4 linked regions of the Oryzias latipes genome follow. The protein of the gene in region 3 purifies or fractionates together with the protein of the main gene of each other region. This does not show direct contact. Links are inferred from orthologs where the notes say so. Each region holds a gene or a part of one and is shown on either strand. Other genes may lie near its edges. The genes, in order: map2k7, map3k7, mapk8ip1 and akt1.

Region 1 (8,013 bases), on a different chromosome or scaffold from region 3:
ACGAGTAATCACAGACAATCTTCCAGATCCCACTCTGCTGCAGTTTTCCGGCTCCAGCTTACTTTTCCAGACTCTTCTGCAGGCCGTAGGGAGGCGTGGGCAGGGTGAGCATGTGTCGGGGGCGGCTGGGGTACGGGTGGTGCTGGGGCGAGCTCTCTGAAGAGGACGAGCGGCTGCCGCCATCGTTGGCCAGGGGCAGCTGCAGGGCTGGGTTGGAGCGAGAGACGGTGGCGTTAAAAGAAAGCGGACTGCAGGTGGAGGTACGCTCCCCACACCCAGCAGCTCGTTCAGTGCTTTGAGGACCAGTCAGGACTTACAGCCCTCACGTCTGAGTCTTTGGTTTCAACACGCTTTGTTCCTTAAAAAATAAAAACATTTCCCTACAAATAACCAGCTAAACATTTGTGATTAAGATGAACCATAACTCTCATCAAATCGGCGAGCCGACTGATCGATTTGTTGTCCCTCTCCTTCTGTTGAGCTAAAGTCCATGTAGCATAAAGGAGCCTGAACCTCTTTAGGTATGTAGAATTAAAGGGCATAAGTGTTTTCTAAACCAGTGGTCCCCAAACCCCGGGCCGCGGACCGGTACCAGTCTGTGGGACAGTGGGTGGCGGGCTGCAAAGGAAAAAAGGACGACCTACGTGGAAGTTTTATTTTGGAAAACTCCTGAATCCTCTCCACCATTTCCGACTCGTTCCTGACGCACGCCGAGTCGCTCGGACACGCGTCGAAAATCCATTTGACACCTTCATAAAGCGGCTGCTACGAGCGCTAAACTGAAACCCCCGGGCTGGGAGAGTCAACACAACATAAATATAATAGGAAAGTTTCTTGTGGCTGAAATAATCCAGCGAGGAAACAGAAAGAAAGCTGTATCGACCAGACAAAAGCCAGGAGGCTTTACTCCAAATATGAATTAATTCTGACAGTTGTTTCCACAGACCATAATAATAATAATGCAGAATACTCAGCACCTGGCAGCTAATGTTGCGATGCTGCTGCTGCTAATAAAGTTGTTCAGTCGATTCAAGTTTATTATTAGATTTAGAAAATACCAGCTGTAGTGACCCTTTTTCCCCTAAAAGTCGGACGAGGCTGAAGTTGGCGTCTGATTTTTAGCTTCAACTTTGAAGAGAAAATCTTCTTCACATTTTAATGGTTCCTACAGGAAATCTAGTGAACGATTAAGTTTAAAGCAGCTGCAGAAATTTAACAGAGGACGAAGACAAACTTTACCCTCAAAAGTTAAGAAACGGAAGGCCCATTTCAGCCTCATATAGGCCCGGCCGTGAAATGTTTGTCTGACATTAACACTGGTCTGTGGCCTGAAAAAGGTTGGGGACCACTGCTATAGATCTTCTAGAGTCCTAAAGAGGCTGCAAACGCTACACCTAAAGATGGCTCCAGCACCGCTGGACGACGGCACAACTCCGCCCAGAACAGCTACTCTGACCTTTGCTTTCAGCTAAATTACCTAAAAAACTACTGTTTTAGCCAAACGTATCTTCTTTTTTTATCTCGTTTGAATTTTTTGGTACGTCCACATCGAAGAAGCAAAAGCCTTCTGCCGTGTAAGGACTTCCTATCCCGTTAAAGCCATGCAGGCAGGCTGAGCTTCTTAAAATACACATTAAGCCTCAACGGGAAGTCATCTACAGTTCATCGATCAATGGTTACCCCCATAGCAGCCACACAAACACAAATAATGATCATGTCCAGTGGAATCTGTGTTTACACCCTTCAGTGACGCGGTCTCACTGCATACTAGAGGTATGACTAGACTAAATGTCTGCTAGCAGTCACTTCCTGCTGCTCAGAGTTTTTCTGCACGAGTGAGATAGGGCTCTGCCAGGAGCACCAGTGTTTGGGTCCAGGAGCGGCCCGGACGGGTCGGCCTGTTCGGGGAAAATGGTTGGTGAAAGGAAGCGGGGGGGGTTAGTGTGACGGGCAGACGCCAGCGGCCGTCGGCACAGATTTTCATCTCCAAAGTTCTGACAGCCTCTAAACAGATGGGAGGAGGAACGGACGGACCAACACAGATGCTAGCAGGCCCGCCTCCTGCTCACACAGCGCCACTGCAAAAAAGGGGAGGAGCCAGGAGATGAGGGGGGAAAAAAAACATCAAAACAGTCCAAAGTGAGAGAGATACGGTAGATAAAAAAAAACTGCATAGCAAGACGTAGCTGTAAGTCAGAAACACTGAACCAGGAAGGAAAACATTCAGCTGTGCCGTTAGGAAAACAGACGAGAAAGGGAAACCAGGCGGAGGTTTCCCCGCTCCTGCAGACAGAACGGTGGGGATGCTGGATTAGAGACGCTCAAACAAAAACAACCCATTCCACGACGCCGTGCAAAAAAACAAAACAAAGCCACATGCACAAGAAGGGGGTTCTCTGCCTCCAGCAGAACAAATGTTAATGGTCCTCCACGTGTGCTGAAGCACACAAACACATCAATGCGAACCAACACTGCCCTGCCACTGGCACAGACGCACAGAAGGGTGAGAAAGTGGAGGATGAAGAACTGCAGGGTTGAAATGTCAGCGGTGGAAAAGTACTGGATGCATGAGTTTGTGCAACCTTTTGATGAGCTGTGACATGTTGGGGGGAAATATTTTCTGATAAAGTGGAGAAAAGTTTTTTTTTTTATCTGACAAATTAACAATAAAAAGGTTTTATCCCATCCCATCGTTCTAAACACAGTAAAATAGAAGAAATAAAAGCACATAAAAATGTCAAGAAGAAGTAAATATTTAGTCAGGAGCTTTAAAGCTCCTGGCTGAGCTGAATGTTTCTCTGGATGTTTGAAATGAGATGGAGAGGAAGTGATGGAGAGGAGGAGAGCGGAGCAGAGAACGGAGGGCTGGAAGGTGGTGGGGAGCAGTGGCAGAGGTGAATGAATGATACCTGCACGCTGGGAGGGGGCTGGAGCAGGACTGAGCTGGATCACGATGACTAGACAGAGGAAAGAAAATATACATACACACACGCACATTACAGGAAACAGCAAACACTTCCACATTTCATCATGTTCTCATGAAAATAAAACACACTTCAGCTTTTCGCTTTTTTTCTTTTTTGCAAAACAATGAGAAGACACGGGCACAAAACCTTCATGGGCACAACACTACCAATGTTTCTGATCCCAATTAGAAAGAAATAGAATTAAAAAAGGAAATTAAATATTAACACGAAGAGCCAAGCAACTCCATAAGACAAAACAAAAAGTCCAGGTTATCCCACAGAGCCACAGTAGTGACAGATCATGCCATTTTAACGTAAATAATGTCAAATGAAAGTATATTGTGCAACTTTTTCCACTGTTGGCCAAAACCAAAACATCTCAACTGGAGCTTCGCTCCAAGGCCTTTTCAGAATTCACCCCCCCTGCCGGGTGGTGCACTATTTAGGCCATTTTTTCAGAGGAATTTACCAGAGGTCTGTGCGAAAAACCACTATGCATCGAGGCTCACTAGCATGGAGAAAAAGGATGAGAAATGTATGAACAAAACTTTGAAACATAAATAACAACGACTGACGATCAGTACTAAAATCAGCAAATATGTCCGAAGAACACGTTCAGATGTCCTTCATTCTTCAGAAGAAAATTTTCAAATAAATTCTGTTTCTGTGTCACAACAGAGTGAAAAACTTAAGGTTGAGGTTTATTATTCTCAAACTTATTTACAGAATTTTAAAGGTTTAGATCTTAAGATAGAACCCCTACAAAAACAAATGAAGTCAAAGGGAGTTCTTTAAAAAAATAGAAGCTGGAGATAACCCTTCTTTTTATTTATAGTAGTAGGTTTAGGGGCTGTCATCTGGACTTAGTTTTTAAAGTTGGAAGACGTTTCACCTCTTATTATCCAAGAGGCTTCCCATTTTTGTCAATAATTATTTTTCTTGAGCGGAAACAACTGACTGTTTTGACTGATAGTATGTACGAAGTGAAGATTATTATCATTTTCTTCTTGTCTTTAGTTTTGATAATCGTCTGCTATTTGTGCTTTAATTATTTTAATATAAAAAGACTAAAGGAAAAACAAAGTACGGCAGCTTTACGTGTAACCGTTCAGCTGCGAGTAAATCAAACTTGACGTCTGTTTGACGCAGCTAGCTTATCGAATTAGCCTGCTTAGGAACACATAAAATGGCATCGAAAACAAGCTTTTTAGAAATAAAAACTAGTATAAAAGGACGTTTTTTAAGAACAATGAAACTACGGCATGAGTGGCATTTCTGCACATTCGCGTGAAAAGCTGTAAACAACGTTGAATACTTTACAGGCCTAGCGATGGATGCGGAGCTAGCCCGTTAGCTTAGCATGTTTGACAGGACAGAAACAAAACGGACTGCGGTACAAGGTTACCGCGGTTATACTTCACACCGCCGTCACCGACACTCCCAGTGAAGAACCCAAAACAGAAGCTGCCTTGATTGTTGAAGAAGCGCTTTGACGATAATAAATCATTATTCTTGTTCATGTTTGTTTACGTAGTTAGCATGATAGCATGTAGCTTTTAGCATGGAGTAGCATAACAGCCCTCATACACCCCACCCCACCCCACCCCTTCTCTCCGATCTTCCCCTCGCTGTTCTGGCCGTCACCGAACCCCAGTGACCCCCGCTGGACACTCACTTGGCCTCGGGCGTGATCGCTGCGGACTCATGTCGATGCTCAAGTCAATTCTCCGACGGGCCTCTTCGTTTTCCTGCTTTAGCTTCTCCTCGATCCTCGAGAGCCTCTGTTCCAGCGACGACATCTTGAAAAATTTAGCACCATGGAGTTCCCAGCAGACTCCAATCTCCGGCGGGCAGGGCGGGGCGGGGGGCGGGGCCAGCGACGTACAAATGAGACCAGCGAACCTACACACGCTGCAGCCTCCGCGCACGTGCAGCACTCCGCGCGGCACTATTCTTGCTCTGTACTCTTTTCTCGTTTTCTACCCAGTTTTAGAGATTTTCTGTCTGTTAGCCAACGGAAAAAGTTTTTCTAATTGTGGAGTTTTCACTGTTTGTGCATAGACATTATTCAAGGATTCTTTTTTTGTTCCAAAGAAATAAAAAAATGTAAATATAATAAAAATGTTGATAATAATACACCTTCCTGACAACACAATTTCAGGTAAAGGGATGGCTTACGACCTTTATGTGAAGCATAAAAACAGCCAAATTTGACTGGGAATCAGGAGCACATGGAAGTTGGAAAAGGGCAGCAAAAGCTCAGATTTTGTCCTTTAATCAAAACTGAAACTAAGTCAAATTTTAAAATAAACTACCAATAGATTTAAGAATTCTGCTACTGTGGGTGAAAGTGAAACAATTGTCATTTCTGTTATGTAAACAAATTATTGTCAACATGAGTTTGTTCACTTTATCACAGACTTGGAAGACGTCAAAACAATAAAACACTGGAGGCTCTTTCTGTTGGCACATTGTGCTGCAGACATAATAATCATGAATCAAGTTTAATCCAGATGGTAATATTTTAAAATCAGATTTTCAACAACTTCTATCGCCAGAATGCTGAAACTATTTACAATACTTAGTGTTATCAAAAACTGTTGCTGGGAGGATTCTGCAGTTATTATTCATATTCTGTCACATATCAGAACATCAGGAGATTTTCTAATAGAAATGTATTCACGTTAGTACAAAAAAAGAAAAAACAGGGAATTTCTTTATTACGTGGCAAAAGGGGCCCCCCCCCCCCGCGTTCCTGTGGGTGCACACGCCTGCATTTTCTCTAGTGGTTTTTCACTTTTATCAATAAATTTAGAGTCATTTTGCCACACAAATGACAAACTCATTTTATTTTTTATACTAAGACAGAATAAAAAATACTAGACTGTCATATAATTACAGTATAAAGTATTCATTACCAGGCAAATGATAAAAATACAATCTTTTAAGCTCAAATCTACGTTTAAAAAAGTTGAACTCAATTATTTTGTAATTTAATGAATAAAAAATTAAAAAGGAAAGTCATAATAGGAATGATATTTATGATCTTACACACGAGAACATGCAAACGTCCCTCATTGGTGATTCTGTTTCAGGCCACCCAGCCGGGATTTGAACCAACGCCTTCTTGCTGAGAAATAAAGAGCCTTTTGTCCTTAAAGTAAAGCTGTATTTATACACGTTTCCCTCAGATTTAATTTCTATTTTAAGTACTACAACAGTCCAACTATCAATATTTCTAGATATTTTAGAAAATTACTAGAATCCCACATTAAGATGAATTTGTCTTTAAACTTTCACGTGATGAATATTTATTTACTGTCCTGCTCCTGATAAATGCAGTTTTGCTGTTTTTGGAGTCGAGTTTCCTCTAACTGAGCCAGATTCTTCCTCATAATAACCACTCACCATCAAAAATTAAGCTTTGGCTTACAAATATGAAAATTTTAAAAGATATTTAAGATTTCATCAGCTACTGGTAAAGTTGGTCTTATATCAAGTAAAGTATTTTAAACTACAAAAGTACTCTGAGATTATATTTTTGCACAAAGAACTGCATTTTTAAATGAAATTAATATTTATTTGAAATTTTAATGTATAAACAATCCTGGTAGAATTATTGATATGAACTTTTTGAACCTTTAGGTGGATTTTCATGGCAGAACATTTGAAGATTAGATGTTAAAGAAACTAGAAAAGTGATTTAGAGTTTTAACTGTTTAACTTCTACACTGCAAAAGCAGAATCTTAAGAAAATAAAAAAAATCTCTTAATGTCTGTGTTAAAGGAAAAATGATTATATCAAGAAAGTTTTTCAAAAGCAAAATCATCTTAGTTTGAGAAAACACGTCTTAGTGACTAGAATTTTTTTCTTAAACTAAATCTTTTTTCTGAACCTATTCATTTATTTTTTGTTAATTTAAAAAGAAAACCTCCCAGAATGTTGGGCTAACTTCTAGTCTTTATTTTACAGTCCTTTTTCTTAAAATTACTCCAAACTGTTTGCTTAATTCACATTTCATCACTTCTATTTCCCATAATAATAAACACTCAGAGGCAAAAAGAAAAAGACCAGAAAAGTCACGGTAGAATTTCTTTATAAAAGAAGTCAGCTCATACATTAAACGCTTTTGCATCGTCGTACACCAGATAAGTAAAACCGGCTCCCTCACTAGAAAACCTAATCCTGTTTCCGACGTTTCTCATTCTTTTCGTCTCATGATTCACACGTAAAACTCTGCTGTGCGCTCCGACTTTCTGCAGAAATACAGCTGAGGTTTGTTTGGCTTTCGCCTTTCCGGATCGCCGCCGGGAACCGGAACCCGGGTTCTGCCGACGCAGACCCGACAGGAAAACGGCGTCTCAGACTCGCCGACTTTAGTGTTGGGTGCAGACTTCTGCTGAGCTCATTTCTCCTCATTTAATGAAAAAAAAACCTAATTTAAAACACAAACCCCCTTTTTTGCACGCCGCTGTCGTAAAATCCAAGCAGCACAAGTGTATAAAACAGTTTGTGGAGTGGTTTTAACCCCTCCCCCCCCACACACAGTTACATCATTCACTTCATCATTTTGATATAGCTTTAAATAAAAGGCTGCCCTCTGTGTGCCCCCCCCCCTTTTACCCCCCCTGCTGCAGACGGAGGGACACAGAACGAAAAGGAATAAATACGGGTAAAAACGTAAGGCATTGGTATGAGAGGCCACTGAGAGAAATGACCTCTGCCAGGCGCACAGGTGACCCCGCCCCCCAGACACACACGGACGCCGCCTTCATTCACAGTGTAGGTTTACAGGCGGCGGACGCCGGGCGACCAGGAGAGGCCGTCGGGTCACCTAACAGAGGTCAGAGACGTAGTCGAAGTCCCGGAAGCAGTCCTGGTCTTTGCGCGTGAGCGAGCGGGCCTCGCGCGGCGGCGTGAGCGTCGGCGGCTCGGTGGTGAACTCTTCGTCGAAGTTGCTCACGTCTTCTTTGCCGCGGATGGAGGGAACAAAAGGAGGGGGCACCTTCCTCTGCAGCAGCGCCTCCCAGTCCACGCTCTGGAGGA
Region 2 (7,343 bases), on a different chromosome or scaffold from region 3:
TGGTGAAAAAAGTTAGTCTGGAGCCCTGGGATTGCATTTTTTAAATTCTCTTTTATCAACATTGTCATTCTTTTGGACAGTTCTACTTCCAGTTTCTGCATCCGTGTTTTTAGTAAATATGTCTTTGGGATGGATTCGACTTGTTGTGTGGCGTCATGTCAGGATTGGGGTCAGGCCCACACTCACTTCCTCTGGATCAGCAGGGCGATCTCGGTTTGAACCTTCAGGTACTCCTGAGCCATCTTGCAGTGCTGCTCAAACACGGCCATGGACTCTTTAGAGTTGGGACACGGTGCCAGGGGCTGAAAACACACAACGGAGCGCCTCAGCTACAAATGTGCATCTTACTTCAGAGCAGAGGTTTAGATGAGAGTCACGTACCTGCAGCTGATGATCCAAAGTGAGATAGGCCATGGGAATGGAGTTGTCTGAGCCGTTAGTGTCTGAGAACAGAGCGGGACAACTTTCAGCACCTTGGATTCTGGTGAGATCTCACCCAGGTCAAAGGTCAAACCACTGGGAAAACAACACAGCTCAAAAAATGCATCCGTCTTCAGGACCCACTGAATCCCTTTGGCAAGTTAGATTCACCAAGTAAACAATGAAGCATGTTTTTGGACTGGAAGAATGCAGAAGGCCTAGAGAAAACCCACCCATGAATGTGGACAACATGCAAACTCTACACAAAAAGGTCCCAGCTGGGATTTGAACCAAGGCCTTCATGCTGTGAGACGGGAGTGCTAACACACACCCCTGTGCACAGAAATAGGCACTTTGTCATACCACCACTAGGTGGCGCACGCTTGACCCCATTTGTTTGAAATTCAAACCTACTAACATCTTGCTTTCTGATCTGTGGGAGGATTAAGACGATCTGTCAACATTTAACACACAAACCTCTGACATGGGGCGTGGTCACGTGGACATTTTACCCGCGTAAAAGGTCTGCTCCAAATGTTTGAATCCAGCTAATATTCTCAATTTGGACAACGATGGTATCCAATGACGACCACTAAGTCGACACAAATCCCCGGGTCACATGACCGCACGCCTTGTCCTGTTAGCCTGGATGGAGTCTGGTATCTGCAGACGGGCCGGAGTGCTGCAGGATGCGTTGATTTACCTGTGGGGTCATCCGGGGAGAAGTAGCCTCTGCTGGGTTTGTCGGCCGGCATCATCCTGGGACTGGACGAGCGGCTGCTGTTCCTGCTTCCCTGTAGGATGGAAGCGCGAGAGCTGAGGCTTCAAACTGAGCATGACAGCATTTCTGATCCTTTCATTAAGAACGTGTGAAATAAAAAACCTCTTCTGTGCCAAACTTTACCTGACTGGACTCGGCGTTGACGATAGCTGGAAGGTCCTGCACAGAACGACGCCTCTGAGCCTCACACGTAGCTGTAGGGGGGGAAGGGGGGGTAACATGAGGACAGACGGGTGAGACCACTTCAGAAATCCAGTCCTACAAATGCCTCTTAAGGAATAAAACATTCAGATTTGTGGGGAATAAGCTGCACGTCCATCAGCAGCACAGCAACCTTCTCCGTCTGATGCTGCCGAGCGCCGAGTCACCCGTTTAAGGTCAGAGGTCACATCATCCCGAGAAGAACGGCTTCCATGGACAATCAGCATCAATGAAAGCCCTTCAGGCAGTAAATCAGCTGCACAGCACTCACTGCAGACCCACAGAGCTCCAGACTCCCTCTGACATGACGGAGCAGAAGATTGAAGAACCAGCTGAAGCAGAAAACAGACTTTTTCACGTTTCCTCTTCTTCATCTGGCCTTTTTCATCCATCATCACTGCATCCGTCTTTGCTCCCTTCTCCTTTTTTACCTCATCAATGCAGAAAACATCCCCCTCTGCAGACCAAAATTGGTTTCATTTGAATGTTTTGGAATCAACAGCATATAGTGACACAAAGTGACACATATGCGATCTATGATACTCCGCTTTGGGGGCAATCTTTAGCATTTTAAGCTATGAGAGGCCAGAATGGGAATAAATGAGTCTGGAGCTCCGGATCTCCAGGTTCAAGTCTTCTACAATCACACACACCATGAAGACAAACAAAACACAGAACTGTGACGTACACAATACTTGTGTTTGACGCACCCGTACCCACCCGTCCTCCCAGTGGAAGACGATCCAAAGCAACAGTAAGGCGGATAAATCTGCAGATTTTTGTGTCCGAGTGAGGATTTCTGGTTTGATCAGACTGAATGTTTGAGTTGGGTCAGGGTCTCTTCTGCTTCAGCGTCTCATGAAGCCGTTAAAAGCTTTCTGCCCGCTTCTCCACATCAAACCGAATAAAGTTCTATCTCAGCAACTAAAGAGATGAAATGTGTTTGAAATCAATGGCTGTGACTGGAGGACATTTTTCAGCCTCATAGTCTGTCACACTGGAGACATCGTCTACATTTGATCATCTGGCTTTTCTTTCAATTTTCCTAAAAATAAAAGTTGATCTAGGAAGAAACTTCATGCAAAAGAACTCAATCTGAGTGACAGTGTGGGCTTTTCTCCTCCATGTAGGTCTGCTGTAAAGTGAACCAGAAGGAAGGAAGGAAGGAAATCCTCTACGCTGGAAGATGAGGACAAACACAAAGCTCAGGAGTGAGGAACTGATTTTCTCCAGGATGACAGAAAGCAGCCACGAGTGAGAGCAGTCATCTTCATCAGCATCTGAGGAAGATGAGCTGAGCACTGATGGGGAGCTTAAGTTCTGCTTCTGCCAGATTAAAGCCAGAGGAAACACAAAGCAGGACTCTGCTGCATGCTACTCCATGAGGAGCACAGACAGAGGGAATGCTGGGTAGAAACTTAGCACCACATGGAGCGACGCACAGCAGAGCTACAACCACCACAGCAACCCAAAAAGGCTCCACCCGATCACCAGGAGGCCCACTGGTCCACAGGTACCTGTGACGACGATCTTGGGGACGTCCAGAATGGTTCCGTGGGACGCCGTTTTACGGTGGCCTCGCCTAAACTGTGTGGCTGCTGCAAAAACACACACACACGTACAGCTGCCAGCATGCAGACGGACGGGCGGGGTCGCCGCAGACATGCAGAGCGCAGACACATGCAGCCTGTGCGACACAAAAGCAGCCCCCCTGCTTCTGCGCTGGTTAGATCCAAGGGTCAGGGTGGGGCACAGGAGGCTACAACAACAACCTGAATCCAGAGCAGCACATGGGGGTCACGCTCCCCCTCTGTATTCATACCTGCAGGGGCAAACGCCGCCTTGGGCTCCAGCTCTGACAGATCTGCACTCATCCTCTTGCCGTCACCCAAGCAGAGAGTTCGAGCGGGCAGACTCTCCACGCTGCCCCCCCTGGACAACGGCAAAGACCTCAGAGGATCTACCTGCAGGAAAAGAGGAGAAGCCTCACTTGTCTGACGACCCCCCCTGATCAGGGTTCAAGGACAGGAAGGGAGCAGCACCTTTGGTTTGAAGGCCGGGAACTGAGGCGTGATTTTGATGGTGTCGTTGCTCCCCTGAGAGTCGCTGTGCTCCATGTTGGCGTCACTTTTGTTGCTGGTGTTGGTGTAGTCCAAATATGAAACTGGACAAACAGCAGACAGGGGGGGGTTCCTTCACATCAGAGCCCTCAACTCAGAAAATACTGTAGCAAAGACAGTCAGAAGCTCTGCAGTTCTCCAGGATCCCTCAAAAGACTTCAGTCCTCAAAACCAGGAAGTTAGAAACAGTCTGGAAAGCTTTTTCTAAGAATGAACTTTTTCTTCGCACAACAGAAGAGACCACTTTGAAAAAAACAACAGAATGGTAAATGTTCGGTTTGGTTTTCTAAATGCAGAGATCTCAGAAGGGTTTGCTGTAAATTTCCCAACATTCATTTGTTTTGAATGGACCTTTATTTTTGAAAGACATTTGAAATGATTTATTAATGGATTTTAATTTTTATGTAGCTCTGCAGCAAAAAACAAAACTAGAGTTATGAGCCGTTGTCTAAAGCTGTATCGTTTAGAGTTGCTTATAATTAAAAACAAAAGATTTACTCAAAAGCAAACAAAACAATATTAGATTATGGATTTGAATTGGATCAAATTAAATCATTTTCTAATCTGAGCCCTAAACACTGAATCTAGAGCTCAAAACCGTTTGTTCTGTGTTTGTTCTCGGCACTCCTCAGGGCTCTGCACGTGGACCTGCTTTGCTTGGTACCTGTGCTTGTTGCAGAGTTGATCTGTCCGTCATCGGAGTACAGGTACGGGTACTGCAGAGGAACGTCCGATTCTGGGAAATACTACAATAAATTTAAAAAGAAACAATCGGGTTAAAAGCCTGCAACAAAACTGGACGTTTCATGAGTCATCGTTTCAGATTTGACAACAAAGGTTCATTTCTTGAATTTGAGTTGAGCTGAAAAGAGTAAAAGCTCTGAACACATTTAACCCTTAAAGTAAAAATTTAAAAAAACCTAAAAGTTTTTTTAAAGGTCTGAAAATGTTATTAATGTGTCAGTTTATGACTGAAAAGGGAAAAACTAAAAGAAAAAAATGATGGATTAATGACTGAACCTCAGGTCCTGTCAGCTTCTTTTGTTTCCAAACACAACATCAGTAAAAAACTCCTTTATTTACAGATGGATCACCTTCATTAGATGACTCATGATCTTCACGATCTCCTCCATGGAGGGCCGCTGAGAGGGGTCTTTGGACCAGCAGCGAGTCATCAGGCTCTCTATGGGCTTGGGGAGGTTTTTAATTAACGGAGGTCTGGTCCCTGAATGGAGAAGAGACGTTGAAAATGGCGGCACGTCTTTCATCTGCTCTCCTGGTGGACTTGGCGAGGCCTCTGAAAGACTCACCGTTGTGCACCGCCCACATGATCCGGAAAGCCGGTCCTCCGATCTCGTCGAAGGGTTTTCTGCGGGTGATGACTTCCCAGAGGATGATGCCCCAGCTGAAGACGTCGCACTTCTCGCTGTAATTGCTGCCTGTGAGCGCAGAGGAAACGCCGCTGCTGAGAGGGGAGCTTTGATTTCATCTCTCCTTCAGAGGGAAGGGGGGGCAATATTTGCCTAGGAACAGCCCCTGTGTTGCTTCATTAGCGAGTATCTTATTGCAAAATGAAGGAGCAGATCAGAAAAGATCCTTCAAAGCGGCTGCACTGGGAGCTCCCATGCAAATTAGCAGCTCAGAGTTCACAGAGAGGGCAGCAGCGAGCGGCTTAATTGCACTGGAGGCTTGTAACTTGCCTCCCAAAACAAGATAATGACTAAGCACTAATTCATCTTCCCTCCTTCCCTCCTCTGCAGGAACGCAGCTCCTCGTTTAGCCAGACATTAGGCTCCTGGCTGAATTAGAACACAAAGTGTTGTTTCCTTGGGGAAATAAAGGGACCAGCATTAATCCATTCATCTTCTCGCCACGCTCGGTAGACTACCATCAATAAAGAAAAAGAGCGCCGCAGCTGGTGAGGAGTCGCTGATTAATGCGCCTCCGCTGAGACATTAGGACGCAATTAAGGTGAAGGGTGACAAAGCAAAGTCAGGTGCGAGAACGAGGAAAGAACTGAGGGCGGCCCGGGAGAATCCACCCCTCCCACACTTGCCTTCAAACACCTCCGGAGCCATCCACGCCGCGCTGCCTTTGTTGTTGGTCATGTGGGTCTGAATGTCACACGCGGTTCCAAAGTCACAGATCTTCAGCACGGTGCCTCCAGCCACCAGGAGCAGACTGCAAGCAGGGACCAACAGAGGCTGTGAGGAAGACGGCGGAACACGTGCTAACAGATGATAAATGCTCATCTGCAGAACCGTTGTGATAACTGAGGAAAAATGTTCGTCTGAGCAGAAGGTTCTACATCGTCAGCGTGAAATGAGCCAATGCTTCCAGAGGAACATCGTTTCATGCACACGTTGTGGTGGCCGAAACCAAAAAATGCAACAACTCTTGCACGAAAAGAAGAAGAAGTAGTGTTGTAAAGCTTAAGTTACAAAAATCAAAGGCCAACAACGACTGAGTATCAGTCACTCCTCCTAAAAAGATTGCAATGGATTATCAAAGACGGGATCACTGGGATTATCTGAATCAGCAGTGGTGACTCTGGATTAGAAACACTGGCTTTCTAATCATTTTTAAAGGTCCACCAACATTCAGCCTAGGTAATTTATTTGTAGTACCAAGTTTATTCAGAAGTAGTACTTTTATACTCTACAGCAGGGCTGGATGGTGTGACGATACTTTGTCTAGTCAATAGAAAATATTGATCACTTAGATGACTGTCTGACACTTACGACACAGGTGCTTAACAGAAATATTTTAGAAGACTCCTGATGACAGCAGACGTGTTTCGGACCAGAAGAAATGACCCGTCTAACCCAACGAGGACCTACCTAAAAAAAGGGTCAAATTCTGTTGCCATTATAAGGCCCATGCCTTTGTTTGATCCCTATCTGAGGTAAAAAAAAAAAAAAGCCCCCCTGCACCCCACCCCACCCATGAGGAGCACTATGCCAGACACATGTCAATGAGTTGATGTCATCGTCTGGACCAACAAGTGAAATTTTCTTCTTTTTAGAATAAAAATTAGAATAAATATTCTAATAGTGGTGTGTTTACATTTTTATGTCCCCTGTACAATTAAAGGAAAACAAAACCAGATTTTCTAGAGGGGGTGCACATTGCAGAAAAACAAACCCCTTTTAATACTGATTCAAAGTGACTTGCAGAGACCAAATTCTCAACATTTTCTTATTAAATATTGCTCGGTCAGCCGTAGTCTGAAGAGAACAATAAAAGAAAACGGACAACTACTGGCATTTTTGGCATCATCTCACTGAGAGTAAAGATATTCAACGTCTACAGCGGCTGTCTGATACAACACTCCTTACTTTGTGATCTGTGTTGGAATAATTAGGAATTTTTAAAACTCTTTTGATACTTGAAACCAATAAAATTCCAGCATTTTAAGGATAGGAAGCAGATAAACTGAAGTTTTATTCCAGTCGTAAAAATCTGTAAATTTTGGTGCTGAATTCTAGTGAAAGGTCATGATGAGGTGTAATGAGAAAACATACAAAACAGTGGAGTACAGTGAGGTACAGCAGGAGACGGGGGAGTGTGTGACGCGAGGAAGAGCAAGAGGAGGAGGAGCGTACTTTGGTGGCTTGAGGTCCCTGTGAATGAGAGCCTTTGGTTTCATGCCATGGAGATAGGCCACGCCCTGGGAGCACTGTAAACACCAACTCATGGCATGGGAGGCAGTGTAACAGGGGAGGGGTTCAGCACCATGCAGCACTGTGGACAAGAAACACAGTCACCACACCGGGTACACACAGCAGGAGTCCAGCAGAACCAGGCTGGGTCAAAGGTCA
Region 3 (8,113 bases):
ACATAAAAGCTCAAAAAGTGATTTTGCATGATATAGACCAGGGGTCACCACCCCTTGTGGCGCCCGCAGGGAATGCACCAAAAAAAACATTTTCTTTTTTTTTTAATTGAAGCAAATATTGAACAAACAATCACGGCACGTCTGTCAATGACAACAATATCAATTCTGAGATAAAGGTAGACAAAAAAAATATGAAAACAAATTAACTTAAAAAATAATCAATAAAAATAAGGGTATATTACAAATGTTTAAATAGATCAAATAAATCACAATGTCTGGGCATTCTTATGATTCATGTAATGTAAAGATTTAGAGAATAGGCTGATATGGTTGAGTAATCCATTAATGTGAGGTTTCACCTTTAAGAATTTACAAGTATGAATAAAATGCTTTGAAATGACAATCAGTACATTAATCAGAAAGTCCAGATTTTTGTCAATTAATTGTAATCGAATTTAAATTGTATTCCAATTTAAAGGGTTAATGATGATATTTTTGGATTTGAGCCAATTATGAAAAGAAGACCATAACTCTTTTACATGAAACATTCAAAGAAAAGATGTTCCACAGTTTCTACATCATTTCCACAAAAGACACAAAGATCATTATCCCAGTTAAAGCGAGAATGTAAAAAAATGATTGGAAAGTTAAATATAATTTAATGGGAATGCTCCAAAAATAGCACTGCTCATATGCAGTAGCAAATCAATATAATGTGGGGATCTGGGGGTTAGCTTTTAAGACTCATGGGAAGTGGGGAATCTTAGTTGTGTTAAATTGCTCACCATAAGTGAGGGAGCTGTGAGCAGAAGTAAAGTTAATGCTGTTTGGCTGGTGGTGGTTGTGTTCAAAATAAACGGACAGATATGATTGTCCGCTAATTTATGTGAGTGTCCTTCCCAACAAACCGGGGTTGTGCTTTGCATTGGGCACAGGTAGCAGATTGGGACATGTCCAGTGTGGTTGCTACTAAGAAAGAGGATAGTGAATTAAGACTCGGGCGTAACAGTTCTTGCCTGGATAGTAGAGGATGGTGATTCAGTGCTTGCTATTAGTAATTAATGCACTTTAGTTCTGCTATCGTGAAAAATATGGCAGAGTATTGAACGACCTGAAACTTGTGAATTGGCGCTCCCACTGCCCATGTGTTTTGGATTTAGGCCCCCTATGCAACTGAGTTTGACCCCCACGTAATACGAGTCTAGAAAATTCATGCATGTTTTTGTGTGTAAAATGAGCAAATAAAAATAGGGCATGCAAAAATGTGTGTGTGTGGGGGGGCTAGGAGGTTTTTAGCAAACAGGTCCTGTGGCGCCCTTCATACCACTTAATGCCCATTAAATAGCCCTCAGTCTCAAAAAGGTTGGTGACCCCTGATATAGACCCTTTAGCAAAGTTAGCTTGAATCACATCAATTAATTTCCTAAATTTTCAATTAAAAAAATACTATTGTCATTAAAACTGTCTTCATATGCCTACTAACTGAAATGAAAAAATTAGAACTTTTGTTTATTAAATAATAAAATATTATCTGACAGAAAAGTTGTGGGAATTTATTTTACATTAAAATTTCTACAAATTTTGATATGAGAAAAAATGTGAAAACATTTGGAATTGTTGTAATATAAAGAAAATTATTTTTCATCCTACAACTAGATTTTTTAAAAACCTATAAAACAAATAGCTCAAACAGACTGATATAGTAGTTTTCTGATCTCCTATAGTCTGAAATTATTGGTCTGATATGTGGTATGTTGAATTTCTGGCATCAGTCCACTGAAATTTCTAAGCATTTGTTTTCATTTTTATGAGAATGTGGTTTTCTAAGTTAAGGTTCTGATTTTGAAGCGCTGGTGGAAAAAACACAATATTGTCTTGAACTTAACATTATGTGATATAGTAAGGAGTCTAAAGCTAATTTAAATACACGTCTATCACCTTTACAGATTGTAATTAGCTGAATACAAATTTTCAGACAATAATGGTATTAACTGCAATAACTCTTCAGTTAGTTGCAAAACAACTTTCCACAAATATGTATATATTTAAATTGTTTGCATCAATTCTTACTCGTTTGTGTCTAAATCGTGATGCATTTAAAGAAGGACCAGTTTTAGTCCAAGTTGTTTGTGCTGCTGTGCTTCAGTCAGCAAATAGCCAACAATCACACATCTGCTCTGCATTTCTAAACATCTACAATTTCTCTTGTTGTCCTGAGAGGATTGTTCCAAAAGTCTTTGCTCAGAATAAACCTAACTTTAACTGTGCTTTTTTTTTAAAAAAGCTTCGCCTTCTCAAAACCATGACCTGATTGTAAGTAAGGTGTTCCCTTGTTTATCGGGTCCCCCACGCAATAAATGTATCCACATTCTATGGGTTTAATCCGCAAAGTAGGTTTACTGATGTTTTAAGGCTGTAAATTTCTCAATACACACTTTATAGACTTTCTCAGACAAATATTAACATTTTCACACTTTTCTCTCTTATGTAAACTCTGAAAGTTCAAACCTCAATAGAAAAAAAAAATACTGAAAGAAAACACAGATCTGGTCAGTATCAAAGATTTTTCTAACTATGGCAAGTTTATTACGCTCTGTGCAGCAGATTCCCTTTGCCAGATAGAGTCCCAGTATCCCCAGCCCAAAAGTCAAACCGCCAAACCATCCAAACCGGAGTATAGGTTTTCCAGAAATGATTTCTTTGAGTGTGCCTTTTGAATGTTGTTGTAAAGACCAACATAAAAATGGAAAAGAAATCAAATTTCTATTAATGGATAAACATCTTGCAAATACAAAGTAGAAACTTGTGAACAGTTTCTAATTCTTTCCAACATTTTTAAAAAAGGTCTCTTGGTGTGCTATTTATTACACAACCTCATCATTTCATAATTCATTGTCATTTATTTTTCCTCTTTTTAGACTCCAAGATTCCTGAGATTTGCAACGTTCTAACATTTTGCACAAAGCCTCCTCCAAGTGTAGCCAACATGCACTAGTTAAAAGAAGAAAAATAAGAAGAAGCCCCTCCCTGCTTGTCCAGTGTGAACACTATGGAATAAAACATTCATTCATTCATCTTCTTTACCGTTTATTCCCTTTCGGGGTCACGGGGTTGCCGGAGCCTATCCCGGCCACTTGGGCGTAGGCAAGGGATACCCTGGACTGGTCGCCAGTCTGTCGCAGGGTGGAATATCCTCAATCACACATCCATTCACTCTCACACTCAGACCTGTGGACAATTTAGAGTTGCCAATCAACCTATGTAGCATGTTTTTGGAAGGTGGGAGGAAGCCGGAGATCCCGGAGAAAACCCACGCATGCACGGGGAGAACATGCAAACTCCACACAGAAAGGTCGACCATTGATGTTGTGTTTTTCATGTCCCCCAGCCGGGACTTGAACCGGGGGCCTTCTTGCTGTGAGGCAAGAGCGCTAACCACTGCGCCACCGTGGAATAAAACACACATTCATAAACAGCAATTGGCGCGATTTGGAATGCACTTCAAATGCCAGGTCTGTACGTATAGCTTAGTAGGACAAGGAATGGCTGTACACTGGGTGTGCCTTTGTTTTCATCTCTCATTGGGGAATATGGATTAGATCTGTGATCATTCGTCTTGTAATCCAACACTGCAACACTTGCATTTGGTTTACTCTTAAATGCTAAGATGAACTGTGTGATCTCCTGTCTGATGCAAGCTTGGGTTGGAGCTCCCACATCCACCTTCTCTGCATTCTTTTTATGTTTAAAGTGCTTTTGATTTGGTAAAGCCAACATGATGAAGTCATTAGATAAGAATCATGCAAAAAACAGACCCTCAAACAAATCAGCTTCATAATGATGGAGATTTACATCACTTCTAGCTCCCAGGTAGCTCTGAAATACATCAAACTACTTCTGTTTATTTAAATGAATTGGGCTTGTTTAAAACGCTGGAAAAATTCACAGATTAGATTTATGAATTTGTCAAAATATGAGTGTGGGGTGATACGAGAATGGACGCAAATGATGCACAATAACAAGATGTGACGTGTGATTAAAAAAAAAAAAGCTACTGATTCACGGGCCTGCAAGGATTAAGGGAGCTGAAGCAGATAAGAAAAAGTACGTGTTGCGACATTCGCCCTGTGAAGGCTGAACGCTGCCCCCACCGGCTCTGTCCCCCGAGAGCAGACACGCCCAAACACTGAACCATCTACTTTGGTTGTCAGAGCCCGGCATCATCAGCTCCACTCATTCCGCTTCAGCAGCCCTCAGGATGGCTGTTCTTCAAACAGCCGTCCCCCCAGCGCCCACGGACGGACGTGGAGCTCGTCCATCCTCCGCTGGCTCGCTCGTTCGCTCACCTGCGGCTAGCAGAAGGCTTCACCTGGACGCTGCGGCCGGAAGCAGGGGCTCTTTTCTTCTTCTCTCTGTCCGCCATGCCGGCGAGTTGTCATGTCTCTACAGACTCTGCTTCAAGCACAAACACCTGAAAGGTGCAGCGACGCCGTGATAGAGTGATGCATTCAGAGACTGTGGGATAAATCGCTACTGCGCTGGTGTGTTTAGGAATACACGTTTTTTTCCCCTTCTTCTTTTTTTTTTGTTTTTATTTTAAACTAGGCAATCCAGTTATTTTGTTAACTTAATGTATTATATTTATTAGACCAATTAATAGATAATAATTATAACAATACCTTATTTAATAATAATATTATTTTAAAAAAAGTCAGAAATGAATAATAATAAATTATTATTAATCATTACTATTTTTATAAATGTGCCATCGTTAGCTGCAACACTTATTTACAACTGTTGTCCCAGGGCAAGGTGTAGGTATACCAACAACAAATACCAAAAACATATAAATCTGACAGTAAAACTTCAAGTTAGAAAGTCAAATAGAGCAGAAAAAATATCTGCAATTAAGCCATATTGTTGAATGTTGAATTTTTCACATAGGACGGTTAAACATATATATATATATATATATATATATATATATATATATATATATATATATATATATATATATATAAAAATGCTGCATGCCTTGGATTTTTTAAAAGTCTGTCTGTCACAAATTAAGTATATAGACTGCCAAATCCCTTATTTGCCCTTACTGTTTCTTCATTCATGAATAAGTAATAATTAATTAATAATTTTGAAAACTCTAGAAATGACTGAGTCACAAGTTCTTCAGGTCTTGTTTTATTCTCTTTCATACCTTTGTTTTAGGGCCCAGTGGAGGAAAAGCCTAAAATAGGTCAGGCTTGTAGCAAAAACATAAACATTCAATAAATAAAGGTAGACAGGACAAAACTATAAACTAAGGGAGAAACAAAAGGCTAACAGAAGATCTGACAATGAATTACTAAAAGCAAGACAATTAATCCTTGTGCTATCTTAGATGACGCCACCCTTACATTGACGTGTTATTCCTACCATGAGAAAGGTGGAAAGATTTCATGCAATCCATGGACACCAGTGATGATCACAAATCATTCAAGAAAAATGGTTAAGCGCACTGTCTAGTGCAGGGGTACTTTTGAATCGACAATGTCTTGAAGATCTACCTATAAAATATGTATGTATGTATGTATATATATATATATATATATATATATATATATATATATATATATATATATATATATATATATATATATATATATATATATATATATATAAAATACTATTAGTAATTGTTTGTAAGTTATGTTTATTAGTTACATGTTTATTTGAACATTGTTGTTTATATACTGATGATTAAGAACTACACAGTAAGATTACACAAAGATACTTTTGTATTAACAGATTAGGCGTTTTATTACAAAGACAGAAAGCAGCGGCTATCATTTGTCATGCTCTGTTAACCGTGCAATGGGGGGAGCATGGCATTTCAAAGGCGCTGCTAGCTCCGTACGAAGCGCATGCCACGTAAAAAACAGCTTCCTTAATGAGCTCGTATTTATCGGGCGAGAACTGCAGAGCTGATAGCAGGAAGAGACATGCGGGGCGGCTTCAATAAACACTCCGGTTGTCCGGAGTGGTCTTCTGCCGGGGACTTGACGTGCCGTGGGGCAGAAAGCGACTTTCTGATGACAGCGAGTTTGCGCTCAGTGTTTTTAAACAAGCATATGCAGTGACGTATGTATCAGAGGATGTCCGATTGGCCAATCTACATGTCAATCAAGTCCTGTACTTCTCAGTGAGGATTTTGAATGGCTGGTGGATTTTTAAGAAGTACTTTTTATTTTATTTTTTTTATATTTTCTGGCACGCGATCTACACTCATGTCCTTGAAGTTCAACCGGTCGATCGCGATCGACGTAATGAGCACCCCTGGTCTAGTGGGTCTAGATGACCCAACCTCCAATGTTAAAGTGCCTAGGATAGCACACACGGTTAAAAAAACTGAGGGTGATTCACTAAATAAAAACAGGTGTAGACAATAACAACTAGAATCTGTTGTGACTGACAGTGGAAAAAATGCTAAACCTGAAAACAGAATATGACAAGAACCGAGAAAACACGTAAACACCAATCTGTGAAAAAACCCCGACACATTTTAAATTGGGAAACAGCTCCTCTACAACAACAAAGGACGATATTGTGTGCCAACTTCTAATATTATATTGTGCTTTGTTTTATCTTCTGCTAAATCCAGGTCTTCAATTCATCTGACATAGGTCACAAAATTAACCACTACTACAGACTGTTACTCTACAACTGTAAAGACAAATGCGAAGGAAAGCATTTGCTCTATGAGGCAGTGATTAGAATATCTAAAAAATATCTGTATACTTTGTTCCAGACTCATTGTTTAATTTTGAGTTTATTTTAAATAAAACTGTCAGCACACTTTCTGAAAATGGACTGTAAAGAAATGTTGTTAGTTTTCCAGACATGCCACAAACTTTATAATAAGACTCAGGAGTCAAAAACAAAATCATTTAATGTTTTACTCCAGCAAAGAGCAAGCAGATAATAATAATAATGGTAATGGTTACATTCAATGTGCATACTAAAGGTTCATTCGAAAATTACACACAGTTATACTGTTTTGCACAGACACAGGAATTAGCTTTTTCCGCACAACTGCATGCCTGTGGCCTTCGGTTCCCAGGGAGATGAAGTCAGAGACAGAGCCCGGTCATCCATGTCTTTATGGACCTTGCTGTGAGCTCTGGTTCACAGTCATGTTGGAAGAGGAAGGGTCCAAACTGTTCTCTTAAGGTTGGGAGCATGGAATTGTCCAAAATATTTTAGTATTCTGGATCATTCAGGGTTCCTTTCACTGGAACTAAGGGGTCAAGACAAGTCCCGTAAAGCAACCCCACACTATAATTCCTCCTCCATCAAATTTCACACTTGTCACAATGCAGTTGGAAATGTACCGTTCTCCTGGCAACCTCCAAACCGAGACTCGTCCATCAGATTGCCAGATGGAAAAGCGTGATTCATCACTCCCAAAAATGGCGTCTCTACTGCTCTAGAGTTCAGCGTGCTTTACACCAGTGGTCCCCAACCCCCGGGCCGCGGACCGGTACCGGTCCGTGGGTCATTTGGTACCAGGCCGCACAGAAAGAATAAACAATTTACATTACTTCCGTTCTATTTATTTCAGAATCTGAAAGATGTTTTATTTTGAAAAAATTGCCCGATTCTCTGTTTCATCCATCTATGTCACTCTTGACGCAGGACAATTCACTCTTCTCGGTCACGTGATACGTTACCGCTAAAATAAAACCTAGGAGTTAGCAAAATGAGTGGAAAAACAAACGTCTTTGGAAAGTTTCTTTGCCAAGGGGAAAACGCCCAGCCAAGAGACAGAAGCGGAGCCTTCAACTTCCAAAAAAAAAGCTACATTTAATACACAGTACTTCTTTTTTGCACCGTGAGTGTGGGAAGGGGAAGGGATGAGGACACCTGTGCGATGTACAATGTCATGCCTGTCAAAAAAAAGCTCAGAGTTCGTTTTGTCACGTCTCTATTCCTCCTTCATTGTAGTGTTCCTGCAATAATCGTCCGCCGCATCTTAAAGACCGGTCCGTGAAAACTTTGTCTGACGTCCGTGGCGTTAAAAAGGTTGGGGATCAGTGCTTAACACCACTGCATCCAACGCTTT
Region 4 (8,018 bases), on a different chromosome or scaffold from region 3:
CTTCAGATTTCAAGATACATATACTGAGAGGGTCAAGCACTGCCCCAAAGGTAAATATTAATAGCTAATCATCATAAAATAAATCAAAATATCATCTAGATCACTAGCTAAAGACATTCTACAGAAGAAAAAAAAAATTACAACATAAAGGACACATGAAATTCCAAAGAATGCAATCCCAATTCTACAACATGTATCAGCAAGAGATTAGCAAATTTTTGTGAGGGATAAAGATATTTCATGGTCCTTAAATATTTTGTTGCGTGCCAACCTGCAAGTTTGAACAGCTGGGATGTCTGAAACATGACAATATGATCAAAGGGACAAAGTTTTTGAAGTGCATAAAGATACTTAAGTTCATGAGTTACTTAAGTTCAAAAATGATCAAGACCTTGTAAAAAACAGATAACAAAATGGTGATGAGGCTAGAATTAGGTCCTAGAGTGAGGCTGTGCATTTACCTCTTTTATGCAGCCATCCCTCCTTGACAATCACCACGTTGGTCATGTTGGTGGGCAGGATGGAGGATCCAGGTTTCCCACAGGGACAGACACAACCTTGCTGCCTTCAGTCAGCCCTGTGCAGGAGCCTGGAGATGGGGTCCCAGGGTTTAAAGCCGCCCTCTCAATGGTGGTAACCTATTAGCTGAAGAAAAAGTAAAAATTAGCCCCACTTTGCAGTAAAATATTTTTTTTTTCATTTGTCTGAATATTAACCCTCAGGTCAACATCATCGAGGGAAGGCGGTGGAATCGCGAAACTCCTTGCACTTTACGGCCCAATTAGAGGAGAACATGCAACGGCTGCAACAGAGATCCCTAAACATGCGAAACCTGCTGCATCTCAAGGTTTGAATAACTATCCAAGGCCGTGGTTTTTGCCACTCTGAATGAAGTCTTTCTATTTGGACAATTCCATGTTGTTCACCAACACAGCCATTCCCGACAGACGAGAAGTTTTCCTTTCAACTCTGACCTGAACAGAAATGAAGTCATTCTCGGACATTTTTACAAACAGCCTCAACAGAATTCATTTGTTTTGGGTTACATGATGCTTGAGATAAAAGAAAGAACTTAATTTATGTATAAATTCCATTCGTTGGAAGTGTCCAACGCTTGTGCTAAACGTATCACTATGAAGCCCTCTATGGGAACTTCAAACATGGGAAATGTTAACAACGTTAAGATGGCAGAGCAAAACAATAGCAGGAAGAACAAAACTGCCACTAAACTAAATGTCATGCTTACATATAACATCACTTTGGCTTCTGATGTCAAAGAAGAAGTTTCAAAGTAATAAGCCTTCATCTCCGACTCATTGTTTTGTTGCGTTATTGTCATTTTCTCTGATACAAACGCTACCAATGCACAAAAAATGATTTTATTTCTATTCAAAAATTCAGGATTTAAGCTGATCAAATACATAATCTTTAGTCATTTGTATTCCAAAACCAATTTTGTTGGAATATGTATTAAAAAAAGTAGGGTGGGCAAAAGTATACCTTTGAAAATGTATATTTTTACACCAAAAGAGCTGTTAAACCTCAAAAACTATCAAAGAAACTAGTTTAAAAGAAATTTGCTATATTTATTTGATGAATTGATATTAAAGATTAAAGGAAGACTGATTTTTAAACACAGTCCCGTCTTATACCAAATCATCTTGTGAGATAAAATCACAACAAGGAGCCATAAGCTCACCCAAGTCTTTACATTTAAACCAGTTAAAGTTTCATTAAAAACAGCAATAAAAAACTCAAGATCTGTTCTACAAACTGATATTTACTATTATTCAGTAAGCATGGCAATTTATGAATTATGGTGTCATCAAGATGGCATCAATAAGACATATAATTTTCGGCTAAATAATTGATGGATTTATTTCATCCCATGTAACAAGAGAAGTTGGCCTCAAAATCTGGAGTCAGGTCAACGATCAGTTGATCAGATTTACCAAAATTCACATTGGAATGCCATCACCTTTCAAAGAATCACATGACCTAATTGAAAACTAAACATTTACTATAAAAGTCGGTCGTCATTAGTACTCATAAGGAACCGAAAAGCATCCCATTCAGAGAATAAGAGTGGTTTTGTGTTCAGAGTACAGCATTCAGACTGAAGGACACTTAAAGGAAAACTAAGAGTGTTAACAGACATGGTGAAACTGCAGTCAGCTGACACAAAAGGCTAAGTTCCATCACACTTATCTGTTACCCACAGAACACACTTTGAACGAGCTGAAGGCCAACCCTTCCAAAACACTTGACCTTTTGGTCCTTTACCCCTTCTTTATTTCATAAAGACACCATTGAATCAGGCAAGAGACATCAACAAGGTTCAATTGCCATGACTGCACACACAAATGTAATGTCCTGCACAAGGCAATTTCTGACTATTGATGGGAATCAATTTTGTTTTTCCTGCTCACATCGAAAGAGATCTGCCTGGCTAACCTCATCCAGCTTATTTGACATCAACAGGAAGTGAATGTGACTCGACAGCCTACGAGTCATATCAGAACTGCCCCGGGGCTTGATAACATCTGTCATTTAATATCTGATGAGCGCGTCTGTTATTGCAGCTTCATTCTCACTTCCATCATTGACTAAACCTTCGAAGTCTCTTGAAGCCGCCGCTTGTGTTTACTGCACAGTGGCTGGTGTTGTCCCACACAGCCACCGTGTGAAGCACTGCGCACGTGGATTTGTAAAAAGCACACAGACAGAGCGCAGTTAATCACTCTAGCAGTTGGGATCACGTCAGCATCTTAAGGCGGACTCTGTGACACCGGCATGCGTGCTTTCATACCTTCATACAGACCGGGAGCCGTCGCACAAACCAAAATGGCGACACTGCACACAAGTCTGACTCTGGAGCCACAACAGAGATCTGGCTGTTTTTAAACCGGGAGCGACCTGTCGCTGCTGCGGCTCTGCTGTGTGGAAAAGCTGGGCTGCAGCCAGCAGCCACTGAATGAACCCAGTACCCTGACAGCGGGTCACATGATCTGCAGTCCGGTGGGCCACCGCCTGCCTGGCTGCCCTGATGTCAGAGACGCTTTCAATCATTCATTTTTCTATCTAAACCTTTGCAGGGAGAGGGGGGGGGGGGGGGGGGACCCCTTTCAATACTAATCAGTGCTATGAAGCAAAAGATGTCAAATAGTTTGCTTGTGACTGGGAGGACAGAGACAACCGTCCCATGTGTTAGAGGCAGGAAGCAAAAAAGAAAAAACAAGCAGTCATCAAGACACCACCAAATTCACTCCAAATCAATAGATTCAAATCTGGTTTTCCTCATTTTTCTGTTTCCGTTTTAGTAAGCAAAACCTGGCAGCTGGTTTGTGGTTACACAGGTAGAACAGTACTCTTTTTTGAAATCATTACAAGAAAGACGAGATCAAACATTCTCCCCTGATCCTGGCAAAAGAAAACATTGAGGCAATGCTTGGTGTGCTTTAAATGCCACAATAGGAACAGGCATTGGTGTGATCTACTACACCGTACAGCGTTCCTCTTTTAGGTTCCTTAAAAAAATAACATCACCAATAATAATAATATTAAGGCTAAGTGGAGTAGTTGTTACTAAATACCAAACCACAGTAGGAGCAATCTTGACAAGCAAGAAGCTTAATCCTGTGATGACATGAACAGCAAACCCTTTATGACTCCCAGAACTGTTTTCACTTTCAGGCTGTCCAGACAGGCTGTGCAGAAGTGTACAGATGCAGCTCAGAGCTCAACTTTGAGCTCTTCTCTGATGTGATTGTTTTTGTTTTTTTGTTTTTTCCATCAAACGATGGAGAAGCCAATTTGAAGGCAACCTGACTCACCTGCGCAACAGCCTGGACCATCTGGGAGTCTCTTTTGCAGAAACCAAACGTTTCAAGCAACAACCCTCTGATCCAGCATGCAACCGGTGGCACATTTGCGTCAATGAAGCTGCGAGGGCATTGGGTGGGAGGCTGCTGGTATTTTCTAAATAAAACAGGGAGAGCCCAGCAGTCACTGGCTGCATCACCACGCCAGCTTGTTGCGTCCTCTCCGGGGGTCACATGTCGCGTCCCCTTGTGTACACAAACTGAGGCAATGCAATCTCATGACCAACAAAACAACTTTGACACTCAAGAGAACAGCCCGCCTGGGGACAATGTTCTGGAAACTTCCAGAGACGGAAGTCAAACATGATTTCACACTTCCATGAAGGCTGTCCTGTTCCCATGTGCAGCACCTCCACATCTATAAGACTGCTGGGGAGGAAAAAAAAGAAAAGAAAATAAACTACCTTTGGCTAAATGGGATGCTTTTAGTAACAGTCATCGCTGTAGGTGGAATAATGACAGTGAGGGCAGTAGAAACCATAAAAACAAGCATTATGTCATTGAACTGATTACTGGAGAGGAAAACATGAAAATAACAGTTGAGGCCTCTCCTTGAGACCTCCCTGGTGTCCGAAAGCCAGAGGCCAAAAAACATAAAATGACTGAAAGGACACGTTTTCAAGAGTGCAGGGTGACAATTCCCAGCAAAGATTTGTTGACAGTGATAGAAACAAACCTTTAATAGCTGAAGCTGAAATGTGTGGCAGCATTTCTGAGCTCAAGAAGAAGAAGCAGTAAACAAAGTGCTAATAGATAACAATGAATGAGCTGCTCTGTCTATTATTGAGCATTTAGTTTGGACTCAACTTTTTTTATTTATTCTTTTATTTCTTTAAGGCCCAATTACGTCAATATTTTCCGTGAGTCTTCACAAAGAAACGAAAAATGAATGATTAGCGTCTGAAAAAAGTGTCTTTCTGCGGTTGGTGCAAAACCACAACGAGTTCATAAGCCCTAAACTGGAACGCGGCGATTCTACGGCGACAAAAAAGAGCCATAAAAGTGTCTCATTTCGGGGGTTTTCACTTCGCAATGGATAAAAAAAGGATATGGGGCCTAGCAGGGCAGCTTGGGTGAGAATAACCGCATCCCATGTAAGTACAATGGGGACCTACCCTGTCTGGCTGTCGGCCTCTTGCAGTTTAACCACGCGACGGAAAACGCGGCCGTTTACCTGTGCGGGAACTCAACAGCGTGTCCGTCTCATTACAGTGGGCCGTTTCGGCGGTATTTTGAGTTGGTAAGTCCTTCAACAATGTGCACAGAAGTCTCTCATTTACTCCGTTTCTCTTGCCTTTCTTCCACTACACCTCCCAAACGCGCTGTCTGCAATGCCTCTGTGGCGGCCCGGCTCTCCCGGGTCCTAGCGCTGGTCTTTTATCAGCTCCACAAGACGAGCCGTTGGATCTCTGCTGTCCCGTTTGGGAGAAATGATTTTTTTTTTTTTTAATGGAGCGGGTCTGCGAGGTCTGGATGCACTTGATGAACTCCTCTGTGTTCTATCTGGTGGTGAAGCGGGTGTTTGGACCCCCAGAGGTCCCGCTAATGTTTGAAGGGGTCCTTCCTGCAATGAATGACTTGATTCACTTCATGGAACATGAGATTCTGTTCAAGATTGATTTACTGTAGGAAGTCAGTGGTGATTCATTTTTGTTAATTTGCTGTGGCTGTAATCTTTGCTGGTATGATCACTCAGAGAAAACAACAGGTCCAGGGCAGAAGTGAAAGTGCAGAATTTGAAGGATGATTGTCAAAAGAAAATAGGATGAGGAGGAAGGAGGCTGAGAGGAAGATGCTGAGAGTCTTTGTCACAGAATAAACATGAAAAAAGCACACGTTGGAAAAAGTGAATCAAAAATAAATGCATGAATGTCACCAAATAAATAAGTTTTTGTCTCAATTTTGTGTGTGTGTGTGTTTGTTTTTTATTTTTATTTTTTATAGCAAATATAAAGCAGTTGGATAGGACGATTAAACAAATATAAAGCTGGTTGGAACAAATAATGTGTTTTTTGTTAAAATACGTATAAATCAGTAAAGACTTTAAATGTCAAGAATGATAAATATGCAAGGCTTGGTGTGGAAAAAACTTGATCTTTCCAGTAAAATATATAAAAAAAGGTACATTTTATTTATGCCCCTTATTTTCATGCACTACACATAAGTATTTACTTTTATTACATACAGTATACATTTTTTGACACTTTTTCAATATTATTATCATTCTAAAAGAGGGGTTATGCTTTTATTGTGGGAACTCTGGTCACTTAGTATCACAATGCACCATCCGTTTAAACTCCAGTACCCCCTGTTAGATGACTGGCCACGGGGGGATAATTCTGAAAACTCCAAAGAAAATAAATTTATTTTTGTTCCTGTAGAATCTCTCCCCAATTTTCATTCACGAATATAGGGCTCTTATTGACTCTGGCGCTGAACACAGCCTCATCGATCAGCATCTCCTTAAACAACTCACGTTACCCACCGGGCCACTCGACTCTCCAACGCTGCCGGGTTAGGTGGTCAACAACTTTCCCGGATCACGAATCGTTCCAAACTTATTCTCATTCTCACCTCCGGTAACCATAGAGAATATCATAGATTTTTTTTTTACTCAATTTCCTCAGACCCTTATAATTCTGGGGTGCTCCTTGCTCCAACTTCATAACCCTCATATTGACTGGTTTACTCTCCGCATTTCCAACTGGAGTACCTTTTGTATGACTAATTGCCTTCATTCTGCTATTCCGTCCACCATTACATCCAAACCTGATTCTGAAGAAAACATAGATTTGTCTGAAGTACCTTCTTGCTAACATGATCTTAAATCGGTATTTTGTAAGACCAAAGCTAGCGCCTTGCCACTCCACAGGCCGTATGACTGCGCTATCGAACTTCTTAACGGCGCACCCCTCCCTAAAGGAAAATTATTCAATCTGTCAGGTCCTGAAAAAATATCCATGGAGAATTATATCCAGCAAGTTCTCTCCTTGGGTCACATCCGTCCCACATCCTCTCCGGTCGGTGCAGGTTTCTTCTTCGTGGAGAAGACAAATTCTTAAGACCCTGCATTGACTATCGTGAGTTAAACCAAATAACAGTAAAAGACAAGTATTCACTTCCACTCATTGATTCCTTTTTCGATTCAGTCAAAGAGGCACGTATTTTTTTCCAAGTTAGATCTCCATAATGCCTATCATCTGGTTCGCAACCGAGAAGGCGACAAATGGAAAACTGGCTTTAATACACCTTTGGTCCACTACGAATACCTCGTCATGCCTTTCGGACTCACTAACACCCCCGCAGTATTCCAAAGGCTTGTAAACAATGTTCTCCGTGACTTCCTCAAAAGATTTGTATTCGTTTACTTAGATGATAATCTCATCTACTCTACCAATCAAACACAACACAAACACCATGTCCATCTCATTTGGAAAGGTTATGAGAAAATCAATTATTTGTTAAATCAGAAAAATGTAAGTTTCATGTCTCCACCGTTCCCTTTTTGGGTTATATTATTGAGGCTGGTAACATCCGACTAGACCCAGCCAAAATCGAAGCCCATACCATTTGGGAGATCCCCGAGACACGAAAGAAATTACAACTGTTCCTGGGCTTCGCCAACTTCTATAGGCGATTTATTCGTAATTACAGCAGCATTGCAGCACCCCTCACTGAGCTCACCTCTGTCAATAGACCATACGTTTGGACTCCGGCAGCTGACACTGCCTTTACTAAACTCAAGGAACTTTTTGTCTCCGCCCCTATACTCATTCAACCTGACGTCCAGAAACAATTCAACGTCGAGGTCGACTCCTCTGATTCCGGAGTTGGGGCCGTACTCTCTCAACCTGAGGGTTCATCTGGAAAACTCAAACCATGTGCCTTCTATTCCCGCAAACTCAACCCCGCTGAGTAAAATTATGATGTCGGGAACCGTGAACTGTTGGCTATAAAGCTCGCACTAGAAGAATGCCGTCACTGGCTGGAGGGGGCAGAACAACCGTTTAGTTTGGACAGACCATAAAAATCTTGCTAATCTACGAAGTGCTAAACGATTGAATTCCCGTCAGGCCCACTGGTGCCTGTTCTTCGATCGTTTTAATTTTACCATTACCTACAGTCCTGGAAGCCGCA

What was found.
Region 1: the proteins of mapk8ip1 (region 3) and map2k7 purify together in Homo sapiens (affinity purification with western blotting; 3 studies listed by BioGRID and IntAct, with this or other methods). This does not show direct contact. The link is inferred for Oryzias latipes from reciprocal best matches to the Homo sapiens genes MAPK8IP1 and MAP2K7.
Region 2: the proteins of mapk8ip1 (region 3) and map3k7 purify together in Homo sapiens (pull-down; 3 studies listed by BioGRID and IntAct, with this or other methods). This does not show direct contact. The link is inferred for Oryzias latipes from reciprocal best matches to the Homo sapiens genes MAPK8IP1 and MAP3K7.
Region 4: the proteins of mapk8ip1 (region 3) and akt1 purify together in Homo sapiens (affinity purification with western blotting; 3 studies listed by BioGRID). This does not show direct contact. The link is inferred for Oryzias latipes from reciprocal best matches to the Homo sapiens genes MAPK8IP1 and AKT1.

What each region holds. Positions count from the first base shown.
Region 1 is NC_019859.2:2,776,280-2,784,292, reverse strand, and holds the start of map2k7 (dual specificity mitogen-activated protein kinase kinase 7), read right to left. Parts: upstream 4,811-8,013; 5' UTR 4,766-4,810; coding exon 4,642-4,765; intron 2,958-4,641; coding exon 2,910-2,957; intron 208-2,909; coding exon 63-207; intron 1-62. Other genes in the region: pkn1 (serine/threonine-protein kinase N1), read right to left, coding at 7,802-8,005. UniProt on the Homo sapiens protein: Dual specificity protein kinase which acts as an essential component of the MAP kinase signal transduction pathway. Essential component of the stress-activated protein kinase/c-Jun N-terminal kinase (SAP/JNK) signaling pathway.
Region 2 is NC_019882.2:20,579,342-20,586,684, forward strand, and holds part of map3k7 (mitogen-activated protein kinase kinase kinase 7), read right to left. Parts: intron 7,267-7,343; coding exon 7,128-7,266; intron 5,704-7,127; coding exon 5,579-5,703; intron 4,962-5,578; coding exon 4,833-4,961; intron 4,748-4,832; coding exon 4,617-4,747; intron 4,269-4,616; coding exon 4,187-4,268; intron 3,567-4,186; coding exon 3,445-3,566; intron 3,367-3,444; coding exon 3,225-3,366; intron 3,001-3,224; coding exon 2,920-3,000; intron 1,396-2,919; coding exon 1,325-1,395; intron 1,215-1,324; coding exon 1,124-1,214; intron 444-1,123; coding exon 382-443; intron 303-381; coding exon 187-302; intron 1-186. UniProt on the Homo sapiens protein: Serine/threonine kinase which acts as an essential component of the MAP kinase signal transduction pathway. Plays an important role in the cascades of cellular responses evoked by changes in the environment.
Region 3 is NC_019861.2:7,595,492-7,603,604, forward strand, and holds the start of mapk8ip1 (C-Jun-amino-terminal kinase-interacting protein 1), read right to left. Parts: upstream 4,509-8,113; 5' UTR 4,424-4,508; coding exon 4,347-4,423; intron 1-4,346. UniProt on the Homo sapiens protein: The JNK-interacting protein (JIP) group of scaffold proteins selectively mediates JNK signaling by aggregating specific components of the MAPK cascade to form a functional JNK signaling module. Required for JNK activation in response to excitotoxic stress.
Region 4 is NC_019880.2:14,665,454-14,673,471, reverse strand, and holds the start of akt1 (RAC-alpha serine/threonine-protein kinase), read right to left. Parts: upstream 5,250-8,018; 5' UTR 4,997-5,249; intron 646-4,996; 5' UTR 508-645; coding exon 462-507; intron 1-461. UniProt on the Homo sapiens protein: AKT1 is one of 3 closely related serine/threonine-protein kinases (AKT1, AKT2 and AKT3) called the AKT kinase, and which regulate many processes including metabolism, proliferation, cell survival, growth and angiogenesis.